Drosophila melanogaster: one gene and its partners. Changing the gene in region 3 together with the main gene of any one other region gives a genetic interaction. Each region holds a gene or a part of one and is shown on either strand. Other genes may lie near its edges.

Region 1 (6,633 bases), on a different chromosome or scaffold from region 3:
AGGGAGTAAAGTTGTGGTAATTGGGCATCAGTTGTTATGAATGAAAACCAATAGCTCTTTAGAATGGATAATTAATCTAGACGAAATTGGCTCAATTAGAGAATTTAATCCATTGAAAAAGCGCACACCCAAACCGAACCAGAATACCCAATTCATCAAGAACCACTGGAAGTGGAGTATCCATTCTTGTAACTCATCTTCTGGACAATAAACTTGGGACCCCTTTTAACCCCCCGGCAGTCAATAATCAAAGTATCGCTGTAGGCACCAGATTTCGCACACAAACAAATCGGCGAATGGAAAGGAGGAGGAGGAGGACTTCTGCCTCTGCTCACTGCCTTCCTCAATAGCAAAAGCAACAACAAGGAGATGGGGTGAAAAGAAAATGAGAACTAAAAGTGCAGACAAGAAGCAAGCAACAGAAGAAGAACTAATTGCAACGACAAAGCATAAAATCGATGGCAAGCCAACAACAACAAATGTAATGAAAAGCAACTACAACAGATAGTACAGAAAGAGGCAAGCGCGAGCGAGAGAGAGTGAGTGTGAGCGAGCGAATGCGCGTTGAGAAAATTGCAATCGGAGAGCGGGAGCTGCAAGAGAGCGAGAGCAGCCTGTTGGCCCCTCCGCAACCGCATCTACATCCACATGCTCCTTCCTACCAACGTGGGCGCCTACAAGTGGGCGGGACGGGGTGGGGGCCGCATACCAAACAAACCGCAAAAGGAGAGCGGCTGCTCGCTCGCACTCTCCCGCTCTCGGACAGCTGCCGGTAATCAATATTGATGATGATAGCAGCAGCCGAAGAAGATGAAAAGCAAAAGGAAAGGTGTCCCGATTGTTCGCAGTGCATCAAAGGTAAGCCAGGATATATTGCCAATACAAAATACGGTAATAAAATGCACTGCTGCTTTCTCAGCTAAACCATCAAAACCTTATCAAGCCCTACTAAACTTTAAGACTATCGGTAAAAACAAAAACGAAAATGGGATATAACAAAAAAGGCCTTTAGGAGCAAAAAATAGAAACAAAAAATAAATGGGTTATCCTCTAAAAAATCCTCTAAAAATTTATACCTTGCTGACAGATATAAAACTGAACTTTAAGGACACCAGGGTGTTAAATAATGCATAATGAAAATTCAACCGAGTTAATAACTTTTCAATCAGTGACTTTCCTTTCCTGTCTTTCACCCACAGGCACTTCCCACCTTTTCTTCGCTCTTTTCCTTTCCGCAAGGAAATGATTCACAATGCAAAAAAAATGGCAAGGGAAAAGGAAAAGAAAAACGAAGGCGTTGTAGGAGGAAGTAAAAGAACCCGAAAGAGCGAGAGAGAGCGATGTATGCAGAGAGAAGGCAATGAAAATGTTTATCAAACGAGAAAAGAGCAGCGACGAAGATGAGGAGGAGGCGGCTGCAAAAGGAACAACAACAAGCTAGAGATTACAATGACAATGCATCCATGAGATACTCAGATACAATTGAAATCGAATATAATTTCTCAATTGAATTGAGTCGCAGAATGTAAATAAAGCAACAAGACATCAAAGAAAATTGGTGCAAATAGGTGTTAAATGTACCGAAAGTGACAATACCCTAGATAAAATAATTAGTTATTTTTTTATGATGGTTTCATTCAAAAAGTTAACCAGTTGTTGAAAGATTGGTACTTTTCCGCTAGCAATCAACCCCGAAATTCCTACATTACAAAAAAAAATGAACTGATTGAATTCTGGTTTGGTCGACGTGACTGTCTGCACACGCATTTCTTTTATGCAGATAGATCCCTGTTCAAGAAACCCCAGCTTATTTCTTGCAACTTCTTGATACCGATACCTATGAAAGTAACTCGCAAAACAATCCAAACCTTTCTGAGTTTGTGCCATCGGTTGTATCAAAGAGTTGGCAGAAATCTGAAGTGTATCCGATTCCTAAACGCAAATATATCGTCCAGTTATAGTTACAAAATGGTGCATGGTAAGCAGAAAAATTTGCCACGCGGCTTGACAAGAAAACCGATCTGGCCTGAGGTTTATTTTGTTTTGCTTTGAAATCGGAGATGCGTTAAAAGGGATGATCATTATGATCGTGAAGATATTGTAGATTGGTTCAAGGGCATTCAAAGCTAATCAGATTTATTCATTTCAAGTTTGTATAAAAAGGGTACTCATACAGAGTGAATTTCATATTTTAGTTCATAAACTAGAAATTAATATTCTCAGAAATGCTGGTTGGTTTTTGCAAATCTACTATTATTGCACACCGCTGTTATTAAATACGTATCCATAATTCTAAACACTTGTGTGTAATTCGAGTTACCGTTAACCAAACAGAACACACAATTTTTTATATGAATTTCTACTAAAAATCACATATGAAAAAAAAATTACCCCATAATATCGGATGGCAAATAAGCAGAAAATTGCAAAATGGCACAAAAACAAAACTAACACTTGACTAAACAATCAAGGCGAAGCAGAACAGAAAATAAACAACAATGCCGGGCCAGCTGACATTATAAACAAAGGTAAATGGCACATAAAATACAGTAGAAAACGAAGGAATATTGGAGTTAATCAAATGCTTGGCCAGCTGTTTTGGAGAAATGGGAATGGAAAGAGGAAATGGGAAAAATCTAAGGTACAAAGTGCAAGCTGCAACAACAACTGAGCGAAAGTGAAGAAGCAGACCAAAAGGATGGGCACACACGCTGACACACACACACACACACACACCAACAATTACGCGACTGTTTTGCACTTTTGTTTCATTGAATTTCTCTGATTTTTCCTTCGTTTTGAAACATGTTTCGATTTGCTTTGCTTTTTTATTGGTTACTTTCTGATCGATTTGTTGCACTAAGAGGCAAAGGCCTCTCTTTTACATTTTTACCACACTTACGCGTATGTCAAACAATTTAAAATTACTTGTTTCTTGGCGTAAAACAATAAACTTAAAACAAGCGAACGGCCACGAATTTAATTTGGATGGGATATTAGTTTTTCGTTGCGTTTTGCTAATCGGACAAAAGGAAGGTAAATGACAGTTTTGACACTTGGCTGTGCACAAGCAAAAAGCGGAGAGCACTGCGAGAGAGTCGATTCGGAGAGCGAAAAAATGAGTGAGAGAGAGATGGAGAGAGAGAGAGAGGAATTAAATAAACGAAAAAGCGTGCATGAAAAATTGGCGAAAAAAGTTTTGTGCAAAAAAAAAAAGCGAAACGCCGAACTGCGGAAAGCAAACAATCGAATTCAACATTTTTTGTGCAAATTTTAACGCCAGGGAATTTTTTTCTTTTTAGTTTTCCTGGCAAAGGCGGCTCACACCCACACATACACAAACTCTCTCTCTATGTCTCTCTTTCGCTGCCACTCTCTTCAAATCTGCAGAGAGTCGGCAATCCACAATTTTTCGTTCTTTCGATTTTGCACATCTCTCCGCTTGTCACTTTACTTTTCGCAGCTCTTTGGCTTTTTGCAAATAAATTAATTTTTCAGCGCACATATAAATTTTCCATCAGTGCCATTTGTGCTCCGTTTTCTTATTCAATTTACACGCACACACAGCCGCAGCAGCAGCGCACACACATCTCTACATCTGCATGCCAGCTCGCTCACACACACAGCGACGCACACGTCACACTCATACACTCACACGCACGCACATACACAGTTTTTTCTTCGATTTTGCGCTAGCTCTCGCAGCCTTTTTTCGCTTTTCCTCGTCGTTTTCAAGGGCGCCGCGAGTTAAGCGATTTTGCAATACGTTCGCGGCGCGTTCGATTTGCGTTCTTTTACTTTTTATCCGTCTGCAGACAGCGAAAAAGACCAACAACTTGCCTTGCGTTTTTGTCCCAACTCAAAATGCCAATAAAAATATAATATCAAATAATAATACCAAATACTGAATACGGGATTTTTGGCACATATAGCGGTCACACTATACTGTTCAAAACTGATATTTTAGCATTTTTTGGTTTGGTTCTGTGCTAAATACAACTATCGATTGTTAAGTTCTACACGCAGGCGATTGTCGTGCGATATACGATATCGTTTACATATCGTTTAGAAATCCCTAGCGCAACATTGGCGCTCGTTTTTCCATTATTCGAAAATGAATTTAACATAAAATTAACATATACTTTAGAACTAAGTTATACTAAGGCGAGTGGCACAACTCTACTTTTATTTGATTGTTTTAGGAATCATTTTTGTATATAATGGGCTTATATAATGTCGATAATAAGTTCTGGTCAAAAATCGGACTATTATAAATTTTAATTATATTTATATTTAATATCATATCATCTATAATTATCATATAATATAGTTAAATTTTTTATTAGCAAAATAACTGCAGTAGTTACTCTTTTTGTGTCGAAATCACTGAAAAAATCGTTAAACAGATCCCGCGTCGAAGTACCGAACCAACAATTTTACATTTACATATATTTTACATTGGTTCGCTTCTTTGCTTTGATTTAGAAGCGAATTTCAACGAATCTAAGCGAATTCAAACGACTAAAATTCGATTGGTAAATCTTTATAAAAATATATGTAACAAATAATTTGAATCATTAAGAAAATTAATACCTTAACAATGCTTAAATTTGTATACTTTACTTGTTTTTATAAACAAAATAGATACATAGAACTGGCGCTCAGTTTTCTATTTTTTCTATTAAATTTTTCTATTGATGTTTATTAAAGCTTAAAAATAAACATAAATTATTGCCAGTAATTATGTAACTGCTTTTGAGCATTTCCTGTTCTAGCGCTAAGACTTCTCAAGAAAGTTTTGTGGAGTAACAGGTATCTGATAGTCGCACTGCTGCTTGTTACCTTCTTGCATTTATTTAACTCTTTGGTTCTTCTTTTAATTAAGTACCTTGCTGATACTCTGCTTGCTAACTTTAATCAGTTAAGACTTTAAATATATTCAACTCTTACCAACTTTCTTAAGCTGGCTAACGGGTATCTAATAGTCACACCATTCGACTAAGACATTCCTTTTTTCTTTTTTTTTTCGTCCTGATGGAGTTCAGTGAAGCGTTCTGATTTTCTTGTCAAAGCGGAAAGAAATCACGCTAATGATCGACGCACCCTCCACCAATTGAAACTCCACTAAGGAGTTCTATATATGTACATATGCATGTATATACAATTATATATATATTTATATAGTATATCGCAACTGACCACTTCGTTCGCAACGGAACGTGTTCGGGATTAGAATTAATTCCACTGACCAGCCCCGCCCCGCCCCGCCCACTTTCACACAGCGACTGCAGGCGACACCCTCGCATTTGGCCAACGTCTCATTTAAATTGCAGCAGGCAGGAAAAACATTTGGCAAACATTTTTCGCCCCCCAAAAACTGCCCCTTTTTTCGCTTGTGGCATTCAAAGGTTTGACGATTTGCCGTACATGTTTGGTGCGTAATTAGTGCAGACCGATGCGTTGCACCCTTGTGAAATGCCAAAAGTCCTGCGATCCACTCAATCGTGCTCACTGGCATTTTTTCCTTTTCTTTAACAATTTCCATTTGATTGCATTCGTGGGGAAGAAAATGCTGGCTCCGGCATTCATTGGGGTGACCAACGTTGGCGGGCTTAACTGTCATTTCCATGAGATGCCCATTTGGTCAAGCACACACTGAGCGAAAAAGGTTAAAAAATTACATATGTATATTTTTTTGAAATTGTTTTAATTTTTCTGTATTGAAAAATAGATAATATATAATAACTCATGTTATTTCAGATTATGATAAAACGAAAATAAGTTCTAGATTCTTTTTTGTGACTGTGAATTTTTCAATTACACAGTTTACATAGTTACATAGTATATTGCTTTGCCTGTGAAGTTTTCATTTCTACGATTTGTGATTCGGAGTATAAATATTTTTTTCTTCTGTGTAGGTGGAAATACACAACTCCGTTGGCAGCATACACATCCCCAACGCATATGCAAAACTTTTGCGTTTCATTTGAATTTCCCTCTCTGCGTATGCCACATCGTATCCTCGCATCCTCGCACTTTCTTCTCATTTCGCTGCCCGTAATTATGAAGATGAATGTCCTTATTGCTTTTATATCCCTTTTGCGTGTATGTGAGTGCTTTCAGTATATGTGGTTGAGTTTAGCCGCCGACATTCTCTATTAATAATGCTTTCAGTCACACTCTGCATACAAGTTCGTTTGAATTTGTTGCCATTTGGAACGTTGGCAGTTGCCTGGGTACTGCACAGTGGGGCAGAAATGTTATTAATGTTGTAATGTAAATGTAATGTTCTTAATTTTATCTTAATTTAATTTGGTTTTTATAATTTTTCTGAATAGATACTACTGGTTAACTTCAAATATAATATAGTAGGAAATTATCCCTAAGTTGTTTGTGGTATTGGACTTGATGGGAGGTATTTCCTCTTATTTCTCTTACTTTCAAAAAATCTGGGATAAAATGGCTTTTGTCCCACTGTGCCGCAGGAGCAGCGCGTGCAACGTGCCACGCCTGCCTGCCTCCCACGCATCTCGTTTTCTTTCGTTTCGCCGACGGCCGTGGCAATAATAAAGGAAAATCCGACAGGATGCTAATGCGTATTTAGTTATTTAGTTTGTGTGTGTGTGTGTGTGT
Region 2 (9,072 bases), 9.8 Mb from region 3:
TGGGAATTTAACAACGAGCTTTTAGCTTGATGAGCAGTCGAGATAAGAGCGAAATTCGGTGTACAATTTACGAGTATTGTTCTGAAACTCTTCTTTTTTTACACCTGAAAGCGGTCATGGATGAGTGGTTCACAAAAAAAAAAAAAAAAAAAACAAAAAAAAGACGACAGAAGAGCTCCCCAGTGACACTCTTTTTCCCGTGAGTCAACAGCCTCTGGTTTTTTTTGGCGCTAGGCAGATGTTCGTACCAAAAGCTGACGCACTCTATACGTAAGAGCGGGGAGATTTAAATCTATGGGCTCATCCCCGCGAATCACGCAAAATACGCAGTCGCAACAAAGAAAGCATTTTAATGGGCACATATGTACGTAATGCACATATGAATGTACGATCGAAAAATGTACATGTAAGTCTTTACATTTCAGTGATTCAGAAGTCCAGCTTAACAAAACCAATAGAACGAAATGAATAATATGGAATAATATTTGGATTACTCTTTTCATAAAACAAAATTGTCTGTTCATTTTTGAGAAACTAATCTTAAAAAACATAAAAATGTACTGTAATGTGGTGTTAGAACAGGAATATTCATATTCTAAATCTCTTGTGGTACTCCTGTAATGTATCTCTAATTTTCCCAGCTCTATTTGAAAACTTAGTCACCTACTTTCACCTCAAATTTAGATAGGTATTAATCTTAATTCTGACCCAGCATTTCCACTTTGCCTTGTAAATAGTTTGTTCACTCATCTTTTTAAAGTAAGCTCTAAGTAATAAGACGATCTTATATGTAAATCTTAAATACTTAGATGCTAACAATCAGAGCCCTAAGGAGTCGAACTACAAACCCAAAACTTTGATTACCCTGCCCAGAACACACTTATTCGACGGATACAAAGCTGATCGGCGCAGCCACTTTCCTCGCCTCGCTTTGTTTTCATTAACTGCATAATTCAAGCAAGTTTGCCAAAAAGCCGCAAAAGGCCAAGAGTGAGATGCGAAACTGCATAACTTTGGCCATACTTCAGTTGCATTGCGTGTAATATTTAATTATAAGAGGACGCCGCCACTCCGCCCAACGCTTTCCATGAGCGGTGCAACTTTACGGCACTTGCCAATTGCACTTTGGTGGCAGCAGCCTCCTTGGGTGCGGGGCGGGGGTGGTATAAACGTCTTGAGAGGGCATAAAATATTTAATTGTGTCACGTAACTTTCTGAAACTGACTGGCGTACGGATAGATGGCATCCCCTATATACTTCACTGGCAGAGCAGTATGCATTACAATTTTAATTTCCGAAGTGGCGGGGGAAATGAGATTACCAGACGTCAAGTGCTGAACGAAATTATCTGAGTCGTCTAGCAGGTCGATTACCATATGAAATATACAGCTTTATTCATTTGCTTTACTCCTTTTAATACAATGACGTAATTAGTTTATGCTTCCATATAAAAAAAATATATGAGTGAAGAGAAATTTTCCGCCTGGCTCATTCAGTTTTCAATTTCCAATTAATCAATGCGATTAAAATCCGCCTTCGGTTTTTCGTAATTCGTTACCTTTACAACTATGCTGAGCAGAGAGTTTCATCAGATGCATTTTAAGTGTTGCTTTTAGTCGAGTCTTTGTATTTCGTATGATGCGTATTATTTTGCCATTCCTTAGAGGATTCACACACATTTTATATAATTTCTAGATCTGGGCTGCTCTCGTAATGGTGTTGTGAAAATTAAAATGCAAACAGCTAGACAGTAACTCCTTCGTTGGAGCTGCGCGATTCCAAAACGCGTCGCCGACAACAAAACGGGATCGTAAAATAATTTAATGGTTAAATTAGGAATATAGACGGGCTTAGGGCAGCGTGTAACGGACGTAGGGCACCTCCACATCCTCGCCATCCACATCGTTGCAGCAGATCTCGAAAACCAGGGATCGCTCGTGTGGCTCCAGGCGACGCTTGGACACGCGACGCACGACCTCCGACATCGGCAACGGCAGTCTCTCAGAGCACTTGGCCTTGGGCATGAAGAACGAGTACAGCATGGACACGCCCTGCGAGAGCATGGTGATCTTAAGCTTCTCATTCTCCTCGAAATAGTTGAGGAATTCCTGCAGCGACAGCTCCCCGGTCACCTCAAAACGGTCCCACAGCGTCCACTCCTTGCCGTAGTATGTGTTCTTGGCGGCAGGAAGCGGCTCAGAGAAGGCCATGAACGGCAATGCCAAGTTGGCGAAGCCGTTCTTGAATTTTACGAGATCCCGGTGGCCGACGATCAGCTTAATCACCTCGAGCACAGCCAATCCAGAGAGCACCGACGTGGTGGTGGCAATAGCAGGTATGATTTTGCCAGCAATCAACTTGGACTTGTGGCGATCCGCTGGCGGAATCTTGTAGTTGGCGGCGCGTAGATTTGAGCAGGCCACAATGAAGTCCATGTGCAAGTTACTGTCGTCGTCCTTTTCAAACTCAAGTGGCGTGATCTTGGAGCTTTTGTCGGCGTTCTTTAGCAGCTCTGAAATGATCTTGTCAACGCGATCCTGGTCCAACTCGCCGTCATCGAAGTTATTGGCCGAGGCGGCGGCTGCTGCCTCATTGGTTTCTATTTTCACGCCCGAACGGGGTTTAAACTCGGGCACCTATAAATCAATAATATCAGAAATGGTCCCCGACGGTATTAATCTCGAACAACTAACCTTAACCTTCTGTACCAGCTCTGCGATCGTCTCGCGATTGCGAACCTGCTCAATGCCATAGACCTCAGCTCGAAGATTGGCGGCTGCGTAGATAAAGTCGAGGTGCATGGGATCGTTGACATCAAAGACCAGGGGATCGGGGCACCGCTTGGGACCAGACCAAAACGGCTGACCACTGGAGGTGATCTGATCAGGTGGGAAGTTAAAGAGCAACTGCTTAATCTGGTTAACATATTGATCCTCCCAATAAAGACGGGCCCACTCCACGCAGTGCGCGAAACTCTTGGGTTTGTCGTCGATCAGAGCTTTCTGTAAAAATAAATTACCATTAAGTACAACATATTAGGCAAAGAAGTAAATTCTATCCTTACCTTGATGGAATCGAGGATCTCCAGAGGCTGAATACCAGGCAGCTTGGCGATTCGCTCGGTGAACTGAGGATCGGCGATGTACTGAGCAGCATTTTCTGCAGACTGCTTGAAGACGCCCTCAAAGGCGTCACGCGCCCACTGCAGAGTGTGCTCGATGGCATTGGGGAAGTTCTTCAGCGTGCAGATGGGAATACTCTTTTCTGGGGGATCCTGGGAGGAGCTATAAGATTCGGTGGCAAAGGGCACAATCACCTGAACGTTGCCCAAAGTTCCCAGAGTTCCGGTCTCGACGAGCGGAATGCGGTTGAAGATGCATTTGCGATCCATATATATGCGAGCATCCACGTTGTCCAGCGCATTGGCTACACCATCCAACTTTCCAAAGAAATCTTCGGAAAAGACTTTCTCTGTTTCGGCGCCAACGCGCAACTCGTATGCGGTGACATTCACTTCCGGATTCATCCGTTTGATAGCGTCGGCGGCCGTCATTGATTTAGGCTTCTGCACATCATGCGGGCGGAACAGGAACTGCCGGTTCAGATTCGACTTCTCAATGAGATCCATGTCTGTGACGAAAATCTGGCCATTGCCAGTTCCCAGGCCCAGCATTCCAAAGTTTTTCAATAGCTCACAACCAATGGCTCCGGCGCCGACAATAAACCATTTCGAGTCAGCCAACTTCTCCTGGAACTTCTTGCCAAATATGGCAATCTGAGAATCATAGCGCGAGCCCACCGGCTGGGCATCCGCCTCCTCGACACCCTCTGTGGGCAGACACTCCAGGGCGTCAAAGTACAACCACTGGTAGATGGGTGTAAACTTTCCACTGCAGGCCTTAAGCACCTCCTGGGCCACAATTCCACCAACGGCCGCGTCCAGCGGGCACGTATTACCCGAGCAGATTTTGGCGAATTGCAGCACCAGTTTTTCGTCGACTTCCGCGTTGCTGCTGGCTCGGACTACCTCGAGGAAGCTGTTGGCGTCCTCCTCGTTCCAGGGACGCGGTAAGGCTCCATTATGGGCCTTGCGGTAGCAGGAGAGGGCATTGAAGGCCACGTGCAGCGTGGCCGGCGAGTCCAGCTTTGCGAAATCGGAGATCAAAAACTCCGGCTCCTCAGTGGCCTGTGCCAGGGGCTTGAAGCTGATGGTCTTGGGCATCTTCACCTGGGTGGCCACTCCTCCGCTCTTATATTCTCCAAACTTGCTGGTATCACCGATGCTAAATGTGTAGGGTCCCAGCACTGTGATCTTAAGGGGCTGACAACCGTTCAGTTCCTGCATGCCCTGCACCTCCGAGAAGGTGACGTAGTCACCGTCATTAAAACCATGGCGCGTCTCGTCCAGGCAGGTGACGACTCCCTGTGCGTCGTGCGTGATACTAGCTATCATGGTGGAGATCGGCTGTGTGCCATCCTGATCGTAAATGGTAAAGCTCTCGCCAAAGTCACAGAACACCTTGGCGAACAGTCCGCGCGTCTCGGCGATGATCAGAGCAATGCCATTTTCATGGGCAAACTTGGCGATCCTCTGCTGCTCCTCCCCGTCGGAGTTGGTCAGTACCACAACGCGAAACTTGCGCAGGAACTCCTCGGTAAGCGGCCCCGTGTGCGAAACGGTGCGCACATAGTTGTTTAACTCGGCCAACTGGGCGCAAGAGGCCTCCGCACGATTCTTGCCGATATCGGCTTCCGTGAGATAGAATTGCGACGACAAGTCATGGAGCTGCAAGACAAACGAATAATCATTAATATTATATATCAACGGTGATGAAATTAGCAGACGGGAGCCATGACTAACAAAGGAAAATTGGTTCTGTGCCGAGTGTACAGCAAAGACATATTTGTCATTAGAACAAAAAAGTTTTTATGATACAAGAAAACTTTAAATTGAAAGGCTATTAACTAAATAATTGATATATTACGGTTTATGAGAAACTCATAGATCTTAAGTTGAATCTTTCAGTGCATAAAACAAAACCGAATGCGTTGAGCAAAGGGGAATGCAAACACAACGGCAGCGAGCGATGCGCATACGGTTGTCCCGCTCACACACTTTTCGCATGGCGCAGACATTTTGAGGCAAATAGAAAAAGAAGGAAAACCGAATTACACACACAAAACGAATTTTTTGCAAGCAAATAGAGATGTTAACCTAACCTTATTTCGCGCGAAGTCTATGATAAATAAATCAAATAAAAACTGAATGATTCACTAAGACCAGGGATGCCAAGTCAGCCTTTCCGGGCATTTCCCGCGTCCGCCTGGAAAATTATCGATTTTTTCTTCGCCCCACACACATACCCCACAAGTTGCTGTGTCATGCAAGGTGATCGATTTCACGCCGCCCAGAATCACATTCTTGGCTATCTCCAGGCCGAGTCCTCCAAGTCCCGACAGAAGGATATCCGAATTGGCCATCCGACGCATCGCATCGTGACCCAGGACGTACAATTGGCGCGAGTACAGCGATTCATCGATATCTCCGCCGGCGGCGGCACTGTTTCCAGCCATGTTGCTGCTTCCTTCCAGTTGTCGGTTATTAGTGCTGTTATTACTGTTATTGTTGCTGGAGCTGACGTTGTTGTTGCTGTTGCTAGTGGCGGATGCACTGGAGGAGGCTTCTTGCGATTCTATTGTGGTGGTGTTCAGGTAATTGCGCTTCTCCGGCCGCTTGCTTCCTTCCTTTTCCACTGCTGACGAGGTACTAACGTCGTCGCCGCTTCCTTGGCTCTGTTTCAGTTTCTGCTTTTCGGCTCGCTTCGCCGCAGCATTAACGCCGCATGTGTCAGAGGTAGACGACGATACGCACAATTCCAGCTGGTGCTCGCTAGTCGTCTTGCTCTGGCACTTGCCCGAAATGTCAACGCCGCCTGCTTTGTCGTGATTTTCGTAGTTGTTGCTGCTACTGCTGCTCGTTGCTCCGCCGGCTTCTTCCTCTTCCATTCCCATTGCCCCCACTCCGTCACCCAACAACTCTAAACGCCTTTTTTTGGCCAGCGGCGAATGGTCACTTGAGCTGCAGGCTGGCGAATCGGCCATCAATTGCTGACCGCTCGACATAGCTTCCTTGCTGAAATATTGGCAATCGAATTTCCCAGTTGCGGCTGCACCGCTCGCCCTCTCTCTTTCGCACACACGCACACTGCAGAATGCGGACACACGCACACGGATGGACACACAAGAACGCTATTTAGTCCGGAAGTCAATTTCCCGTGGTTTCTGACTCGTTCCAGGACAGCGGATTCTATTTGTGGCCGAATTTCTAACAACGCACTCCCAAAAATACAGAACACGCACGATCGAGTTGCAGTATAGAATTCGCAGTAGTGTGGCCGCGGCTCTTGAAATTGGCAAGCCTGCCCAGTGTGACCGACCTGTGTGAATTGGAGGTGGCACAATATAGATTTTATTGCGATGCTATCGATATTTCCGCAATTGGTTAGTTAGGTTTCTTTTCTATATAATAACGCCCAGATTAATAATCCAATTAATTCACATTATTTTAATAATTAAACAGACGGCTTTCATTTTTATTATTCTATTATTTGTAAGTTGGCCAAGTAAAACCAAATGAATTTACACAATTAAAATTGGTAAGCGGGACAAATAAATCAGATTCAAAACTGATTTGCAATACTCCAATTAGCAAAGAATAGGCAGTGGGTTTAAAGCCCAGCTAAGCGCAGTTAAGACTTAAACCTTTTGTGTCACTAACTTATCTAAATAATATTTTTTTGGAGATCTGGCAGGCCTGAATAGTCTAAGAGGCGGTGTTGGTAAACACAAGTTTACCGCGTATTCAGGATACATTTGAAATCGTTTATGTTTATGTTTTTACTACACCGACTGAAATATTAGATTTTGTTAGAGTTAGTTAATTCTTTTTAAACTTGAAAAAAAAAACGGTTCGGGTTCAAAAAATACAAGCTCGTTTAATGAAAATATGGCTCGCATTTTCAAAAATTTGTTGATTTCAATTGACATTTTTTTGCTATGTAATGTTCGAAATTTAAATGTATATTGGTAATATATTTATTTGATAAAATTTAAAGTGGGTTTTAATTTGTTTCAAACTGCTTATAAATAGATGATAACAGACTTCTGGGTCATTACTTTATTTTTCATAATTGTGGTGCAAGCACAACCCTGATATCTTGATATTATTCATTATAATAATAATAATTATTCATTATAATATAGCTTGGCTTCCCCATTATAAATTCCTATATACTTTGTACTGGTCAAACTTAAAAGTAACTTATACATGTATATGGCTTAAACTTGATATTTTTGAATTATGCCATTTAATAGATCGTTCTTATTTTTCTAAACAATTCAAAAATTGTGTTCCCTTCTTCTATAAATAAAGCAATATTCACAATATTTTGAATAAATAAAATATATTGGAATATTCGTTTTTGTGAGTGACATAATATCGATTGAAAGTTAATTTAGCAAATACATATTTCAAACGTAGAACAACCTCTTAATAGATGTGTGTTCAAAAAACTTAAATTTAATAATTCTTTACTCTCCGATTTCATCAACTTCTAAGCCATTAGCTCGAAATTGAAATATATACTTCAATGAGTTTGCTGGTCATCAATCTGTCGGCACTTGAGGCAATTATCCTGGCCCAAAAACCCCGATCGTGGCACGCGCCCCTCGGCAGTTGTCCCACAAACCAACACCAACTGACCCACGGCGAAGTCCTTCGGTGTCGCTTGGTCCTGGCCGGGTTCAATATCCTTTGAGAGCGGCTAATCTATTTTCGGTCGGGGTTCCCTTTCTGTTCTGTGCAACGGTAGTCGAGCATGAAAATGCGTAAATTTCCACGAAAAACAGAGAGCTATCCTATACCAGTTTTCCGAGCGGCGGGGGTGTGTCCTTTTCAAGTGTTGAGAGCGTGCCATTAGGAAAATGCAGTACGAGGGGCAACAGCTGCAGGATCTAAAGCCCGGATCTTGTCGCACAGTTGCGTAAAATGCATTTTAATTTACGCCTACAGCTGCGCGAAATGCTGCTCCCGTTTTAGAAATTCCCCCCTCCCTCCTCCGACGCTCTAATTTTAGTCCGATCTCGATAGGATCGAGAAACTAGCCGCGGACTTTATCGCGTGCGGTGTGTTCCACGTCCTTGTCGCGTGGTATAACCCGAAAAACACAAATTCCTGCCAAATTAGCATACTGATCCTGCAGCGAATGAGCGGGGGTGTCTGCTGCCCATCTGTCCTCCAAATATTCTGCATCGCGTGCCCCCGAAGAGATATAAACATGCATACGTATGTACATATGTGGAATGCACTCCGCCCTCCCTAATTAAGCACATCACATATGGCCACGCATCATCCCTATGCAAATATTCAACCATTAATCAATTGGGAATGTAATTTGAATATGAAAAGCCGCTGAAAAAATGGCTGGCACTATTAATTTCGCCGCTGTCAGCGGCTGGCAGGGTAGAAATGCCTATTCCCAAAAATTGGCAAAGGGCTTTGGGTTATTTTTTTTTTTTTTTTATCCTACACCAAATTATTGTAACAACAACTCGGCAAATTGAATTTAAAAAGAACAAGAAACATATGCTCATTAAAATCAAGAGAGCTGGGAGGTTTTTCATAAATAAATAGATAAATGATTAAACTCTCCTTAAACTGTTAGAAAAGTCTTTTTATGTCCCCTTCACTTAAAAATTATGCCTGAAGTTCCAACTTTTTTCTAAAACATTGAGGATAACACGAAAGGCACGCAGCATTAGGTGGCATTTTAATACTCCGCTTCTTTCAGAGCGACAATTGTTCCTTTGACTAACCCCAAGATTGTGGAAAACGACTCCTTGTTGAGCCACAACTACCGAGGTGCCCATCTAGCCCAGTGTCTCGAATTGCGTTTATCAAGGAGAAAATATATCTCTTCTGGCGATCAACATCTTTTTGTCCTACGAGTATTGCCACTAAATGACGAGCGGTTCCCTCGCTTTAATTGTCTGGGAAAATGCGCATTATCGCAC
Region 3 (6,815 bases):
CCTGCAACGATTACGGCGAGGACAAGTGCAACGAGGACTCGTTGGAATTCCGGGGACGAACGTTTCTGGAATATTTGCAGGCGCAGCGGGTGACCGAAAAGATATCGTCGTGCGTGATGCAGGCCATTGCCATGTGCGGCCCCAGCACCAGCTTCGAGGAGGGTATGCAGCGCACACAACGATTTCTGGGCAGTCTGGGCCGCTATGGCAACACACCCTTTCTCTTTCCCATGTATGGCTGCGGGGAATTGCCGCAGTGCTTCTGCCGTTTGTGCGCTGTTTATGGTGGCATTTACTGCCTAAAGCGAGCCGTTGACGACATTGCCTTAGATTCCAATTCGAATGAGTTCCTGCTGAGCAGCGCAGGGAAAACTTTGCGTGCCAAGAATGTGGTCTCTGCCCCTGGCTATACACCAGTTTCAAAGGGCATCGAGTTGAAGCCGCACATCTCACGTGGCTTGTTCATATCGTCCAGTCCCCTGGGCAATGAGGAGCTGAACAAGGGAGGTGGTGGTGTAAATCTTCTTCGACTACTTGACAATGAAGGTGGACGGGAAGCCTTCCTAATACAACTGTCGCACTACACGGGAGCCTGTCCCGAGGGTTTATGTAAGAAACTTAAGAAAATATGTGAATTATTCCTTTTTAATGAATTAATTTTTACAGATATCTTCCATCTGACCACGCCAGCGTTGAGCGAGGATCCAGCGTCTGATCTAGCCATTTTCACTAGCCAACTCTTCGATCAATCAGACGCACAAATAATATTTAGCTCATACTTCACAATTGCTGCCCAGTCTAGTAAAAGTCCCGCTGCCGAGCATATTTACTACACCGATCCACCTACCTACGAGCTGGATTATGACGCGGCCATTGCCAATGCTCGCGACATATTTGGCAAAATGTTCCCAGATGCCGACTTTTTGCCACGAGCCCCAGATCCAGAGGAGATTGTCGTGGATGGTGAAGACCCTAGTGCCTTGAACGAGCACACTTTGCCCGAAGATTTGCGGGCACAATTGCACGACATGCAGCAGGCAACTCAGGAAATGGATATACAAGAGTAGTCATACTAAAATAAAAAGGAGGTTTCCTTGGTCTACATATATCATTACTTATTACAAAATTTTCTTAAGTATCTTTCGAATAAGTTATATATTGTATGCAATTTTTTGATTCATATATTCCTATATATTTATTATGTAAATTATTTATAATTGCTAAAAGTACTAGGTATATATAAATGTTTAAATGTGAGTGTTTCTGTGCATTTTGCTTTGATAAATATATGTTCGAAAAATATGCATTCCAATGCGTATAAAAATGTTTCTCCTTTATAAGTATTGCTTGACGGGTTACTGTTTTTATCGCACGAAGACAGAAAATAAGTGTTTTAGAGATAAAGGTTAATAGTTACCAAGGAAGAACGAATATTATAAGTCTTATTAAATTATGATAAGGCCTGGGCAGTTCACAATACGGGCAGCTACAATAAACGCAAGATAAATTTTATTCGAGCATACCTATTTATATTAAAAGACAGATCAATGAAAGCTAGGATATAAGAAACCAAGCATAAATTTGATGAAATCTAACAGAAAATATGCTTTCGTGCTGGAAGATACTGCCGATGACTCCTCTTTTCTGTTTTCACTGCATTTTACAATAAAGCTTTTGTGTTTTCATTTCTTGTGATTGATTTTAGACCCTTCCACCAGGTTAAATTTGCACAATGCACGAATAATTTCTAGAGGATACAGATGATGGGTCTGTAAGATTCAGTATTCATCTGCAAACTTAACCCAATGTAGAGGCAATTGAGTGAGTTGAGATTTCATAATCAGTTGTCTTGCGAAATTGTGAGTTGCTTTACCTATATCTTAATCAGATTATTATTGATGTTCTGCTGGCGTTTGCGCTTTGCATTCATGGCGTCAACAATTGGCTGCCGCTTGGCATTGTATTTCTTGTTTAGCTGTTCGATCTCCAGCTCCATTTCGTGATCGATGTTGCACAGCCGCTGGTTCAGATCGTCGAAGGTAAGGAACTTGAGGAACTCAAACTCACCCTCAACATAGGCGTGCGATTGCGTATGCATATGCTGATTCTGATATGCGGGCGGCGGTTGAGCTGGAGCCGCTGCCGGTATTCCCTGCTGTCCCATTGGCGCAGCGTTGCTGAGCAGCAGATTCGGTTGATTGTTGAGCGCGATGAGTTGTTCGTTCATCAGGGGATAAGCCATCAGAACTTGCTGCTGCTGCTGGTGCTGCTGCAGACCATACTGATTAATGGCGGAGATCTGCTGGAACTGCATTTCCATGTTGTGCTCCCAGTTGTTCAAATCGTTGGCCCCGCTTGCCAGATGCTGTTCATCCTGCTGTTGTTGTTGCTGCTGCTGTTGTTGTTGTTGTTGCTGCTCCGCTGCTGCCGGAGAATACTCTGTGGCTATGGGTTTTTCATCGCCACGGCCATCTCCCGCATTTTTGCGATCGAAGTGCTCCAGGAACTGCGGCCTGTAGCGGTTTCGCGGCTTCTGGTCGTCGTTGTTTTTGGCCGTTGTGGAGTCGTCCGAATCGGAGTTGATTACCATAGTGCCTGAATAACAGACAATACAATAACAAATGGCCAGCCCTTTCAAAATCATTTACATACCCAAGTTCGACTCCAGCTCCACCATTGTGCCGCTGTCAACTGCCGGCATGTCCAGAGGAGATGCTGCCGAAGAGGCCGCTGCAGGAGCAGCTGCCTTGGACAGGTTCCTTAGTCCACCCGGCCCCAAAGTGCCCTCATCCACACCTTGCTCTGCATGCGCTATCATGGTGGCATCTGAGGCTGAGCTCTGTTGGTATTCACCGAACTTCTCCGGCACCAGAGTACCTGGATCCTCCATAAACGCGTTGTCCGTGATGTGTTGTTGCATTCCGTTTTCCTGGGTTGCCAAGCTCTTCGCCTGACTAGCAGCCAACACGCCCCCAAAACTGCGATTGGCGCGTTGCTGCTCGCGAATGGCACAGGTCTCCTCAAGCATAGGCTTTAGGATCGATCGGTGCTTGGCGTTGCGTATGAACTCGTGCTCCAGCAGTTCAGTGGCCGTTGCCCGGTCGTCTGGCTCCTTTACCAGGCACTTGCTCACGAAGTCAATGAACTCTGTGCTCCAGCGATCCGGTTCCCGGAACGATGGTGGTGGCTTCTGCGGAATCATAAAGATGGCTCGCATGGGATGGATCTCACCGTATGGGGGCTTTCCCTCGGCCATTTCCAAGGCGGTGATGCCCAATGACCATATGTCTGCCACACAGTCGTAGCCAATCTCCTCAATCACCTCGGGGGCCATCCAGAAGGGCGTTCCGATCACAGTGTTTCTCTTGGCCATTGTGTCCGTGAGCTGACCAGCGACTCCGAAATCGGCCAACTTAGCATAGCCTTCGGTATTGAGCAGGATGTTGGCCGCCTTGATGTCGCGATGGATCTTGCGACGCAGATGCAGATAGACCAAGCCCTGCAGAGTGTCCGACAGAATAGTGGCTATCTCGTCCTCCGTCAGCGTCTTTTTGCGCAGACGCATAATGTCGGAGACGCTGCCGGCGCCACAGTACTCCATGCAGATCCACAGGTCATACTGCTTGAAGTAGGAGCCGTAATAGCGCACCACATACGGCGAGTCGCATTGTTGCATAATGGATATCTCCTTAATAATCTCGTGCAGGTCGGACTCCACCGGCACCAGCTTGATGGCCACAATGGAGCTGCTTTCCTTGTGCACTGCCTTGTAGACTGATCCATAGCTGCCCTCGCCCAGCTTGTACATAATGTCGAAGACCTTTTCCGGCGGCTGCAGAAGCGACTCCTCCGACAGCTTCTTCAGCTTGAAGAAGGAGCAGGAGGAGGATATGTTGGGCGATTTCATATCTACAACGCTGGTCACCTCTGGCTCAGACATTGCGAAAAATTTTCTGATTTAGCACGAGAAAACACAGATAATTGGCTATTCACAGCGACATATCACACTTTTGTTCTTTATTCGCACTCGATCGCTAGCCAACACTAGTAGTTCTCAGTGCCCTCGGCACTTTGCAACACGCCACCCGCACAGAACAGGTGCGGCGTTGCCAGACAAACGCCGAACACCGCAGAATGTAAACAAAGCACCAGTGCTGCATAGCAGAATTAGCCATTTATCGATAAGTTCTCTTGGCGCGCTTTTTAAAACTTAATTTATTGGCTCAGAATTATAAGGTTAAAATTAAATTTACAACTCACGCATGCTTACCTCTTTTTTGAAATCTTTGCTTGATGATGGCATTTCTATGTTTTTCTCATGGCTATTGATTAGATTTATGACGATTTACTTTGTACTTTGATTAAAAAGATTTAGTAAATTCTGATTAACATATAATATTTATAATATTAAGTTGTTTAGGTAATTTGTTTCACTTTGAATACGTTTTAATATTTATTACTTCTGTATATAAAATTAAATTGCTTTTATGGATCGATTGTTGTTGTTCATCAAATAGAATAAAATGTTGGCATGATTGACATGAGCTGTGCCAATTTGTCGTTGTTAATCTGCGGTTGCGCCCCCAGAAAACCCAGATCCCCTTCATTCCGATGAGTTCGCTGACCTGAAATGCCCAATAAAAGTGCTTGGGAAATCTACATGCAGTCCGGGGACTTTGGTTAGTGCATAGTCGAATGATAATAACAACATAACTGGCGCCTATAAGGCTAACCGGCTTGTTATTGTAACAAATGCGACTGGAAGAGAGCACCGCAGCGAATGCGAGCAAGCGGCTTTAGCTCCAACTGCTGGCTTATCGGTCACTAAGCCGCCCCAGGCCTTAGCAACGTGCTCCATAGAAACGACACGACACCCAACAGCAACAGCAAAAGCAACGCCAACACCAGGAGTGCCAGCCTGGCTACAGAAATTCCTTCGCTCGGCAGTTCGCTGTTTACACTACGTGGCTGCACATCGTCGCATCAACCGGAAATGGCCATGGCCCAAACGGCACGCACCGCGACGGCAAGGCGTCCCACGCACGACTACCACAGGCCGACGCGCTCCAAGTCCGCCAATCCGGCGCAACTGCGTCCACTTAGCGGCATCCATGGAGCGGCGGTCTCGTCGCGTCCGCGCTACGTTCCACCCTTCTCCATTCAGTCGCAGCAAAAGAACACGGTCGTCATCGACGGACCCATCCACGAAACCGCCCCCAAGACAGCCAGTGCCAGGAGTCGGGTGCCCAATCCGAAAAGTGCGTTAGTTTGTTTATTTGGGTGTTTCGCCCATCGGTATTTGTTTCCCTAATGACATCCCTGCCCACATTTGCATTTGTACTGATTTTCAGTTCTGAGGCGCCAACAAAAGTCCATGTCCACCTTCAACTTGGGCATGGGTCTTAATGGCTGCTCCACCGGTGGGGCTAATGATCCGGGACGAGGAACCCTCTTCCGAATGTACTTTGACCGCGGCGACCTGCCCATAAAGATGGAGTACCTCTGCGGGGGCGACAAAATCGGATGGACGGTGAGTGGTGGGAATTATTTGGTAGGGCGCTAAATTCCATTAGGTTCGTTGTTAGTTGACTTATTAATTATACTATATATATGGTATTAAGTTATATTGTTCGAAATTTGGATAGGTCATACATTTAAACTTAATTCTTTTTAAGCCCTTACATTCGGGTAATGATTTATTTTTGTAACCATAGCTAGAATTTTCCATATGTCTGTTGGCAAACTTAAACTTCAACTATACAAATGTGAGTCAATGCAAATAAAAATCAAATGAAATTGCACGACTGTCACTAGAAAGGGGTAACCTTACCACTCGGTGACCCATAGACAAAGCCCATATTTGAATTTAGCTCGAGTTTCGTACACCTGCGTGTCCAATTATTTCAAGTGTTGCAGGTGAAAGCAAAAACCGAGTAAATAATATGCCATTGTCTATTTCCGGAGTTAGTAGAGCTCCACGGCTGACGGGCAAGCGATTCCGTCCGGAATGCGACTACTGACATTCAAAACGTCGCACCGTCCAACTGTCAGTCAATTTCCCATGGAACTCCGCTGCAATCGGAAAGTTATGTGTAACCAATTCCCACCCACCTCGCATGAGTGTGTGTGTGACCCCTTTGGCTGGTTCAATGTCACAGACCTTGGATGGCACTCCATATTCGATGTGGAGTCCACATATGCGGCGTATGTCATTTGGGTGGTGCGTTTGTTTATCTAGGCCGAAATGCCGTCGTGACAGGAGAGTGATATGTGAGTGACACTGCCTGATTTACGTCACGGGGTCGAAGGTCGATGTTGGGGAAACCCATATGTGAGGCTCACGCAGCTGCGATGCCAGCGATGTCGCCTTTGACTTAAATATAAAGTTGCTGTCTTCTTAAAATCAAAGTAAAATTCCTATTCTGAGTCATTCAGTCATATATGCAATACAATCTGGTTAAGATAGTGGGTTATATTATAACCCTTTGTTAGCTCAAATCAACTAAGCTAAGCTGGTAACTATACTCAAAGCAGACTCTCGAACAAAGATTAGTCTAGACTTAGCACTGCAAAGTCTATAGGCAGGTACAGGCCCATTTCTCGATGTGTTCTAAAAATTTTCCACTGACAACGTAAGCAAACAAAGAGCATCTTAATGGAAATCAGCTAGGGCGCCTAACCGGCATGGCGTGCAAATGTACACTTGCAAGACTTGCGCCACCGCCGGTACACGAACCAATTTCGAACTTGGAGCGGCTCTATTCACCTTTGACCCGCCAACGGTGTCACCTCTTCCCGTATCTCGCCTAGGTGGA

Evidence for each region. A genetic interaction does not mean that the proteins touch.
Region 1: of hpo (region 3) and bun, changing one suppresses a phenotype caused by changing the other (phenotypic suppression), as found in Drosophila melanogaster (one study listed by BioGRID).
Region 2: of hpo (region 3) and Uba1, changing one enhances a phenotype caused by changing the other (phenotypic enhancement), as found in Drosophila melanogaster (one study listed by BioGRID).

The regions. Positions count from the first base shown.
Region 1 is NT_033779.5:12,542,741-12,549,373, forward strand, and holds the start of bun (bunched), read right to left. Parts: upstream 3,872-6,633; 5' UTR 3,670-3,871; exon of another isoform or gene 2,903-3,669; intron 1,604-2,902; exon of another isoform or gene 1,200-1,603; intron 859-1,199; exon of another isoform or gene 436-858; intron 1-435. UniProt on the Drosophila melanogaster protein: Probable transcription factor required for peripheral nervous system morphogenesis, eye development and oogenesis.
Region 2 is NT_033778.4:9,686,918-9,695,989, forward strand, and holds Uba1 (ubiquitin activating enzyme 1), read right to left. Parts: upstream 6,412-9,072; 5' UTR 6,124-6,411; coding exon 5,365-6,123; intron 4,787-5,364; coding exon 3,065-4,786; intron 3,003-3,064; coding exon 2,694-3,002; intron 2,637-2,693; coding exon 1,851-2,636; 3' UTR 1,372-1,850; downstream 1-1,371.
Region 3 is NT_033778.4:19,492,809-19,499,623, forward strand, and holds hpo (hippo), read right to left. Parts: upstream 4,049-6,815; 5' UTR 3,941-4,048; coding exon 2,653-3,940; intron 2,596-2,652; coding exon 1,874-2,595; 3' UTR 1,188-1,873; downstream 1-1,187. Other genes in the region: Rep (Rab escort protein), read left to right, coding at 1-609, 667-1,067; CG15120 (uncharacterized protein), read left to right, coding at 4,994-5,258, 5,352-5,530, 6,811-6,815. UniProt on the Drosophila melanogaster protein: Plays a key role in the Hippo/SWH (Sav/Wts/Hpo) signaling pathway, a signaling pathway that plays a pivotal role in organ size control and tumor suppression by restricting proliferation and promoting apoptosis.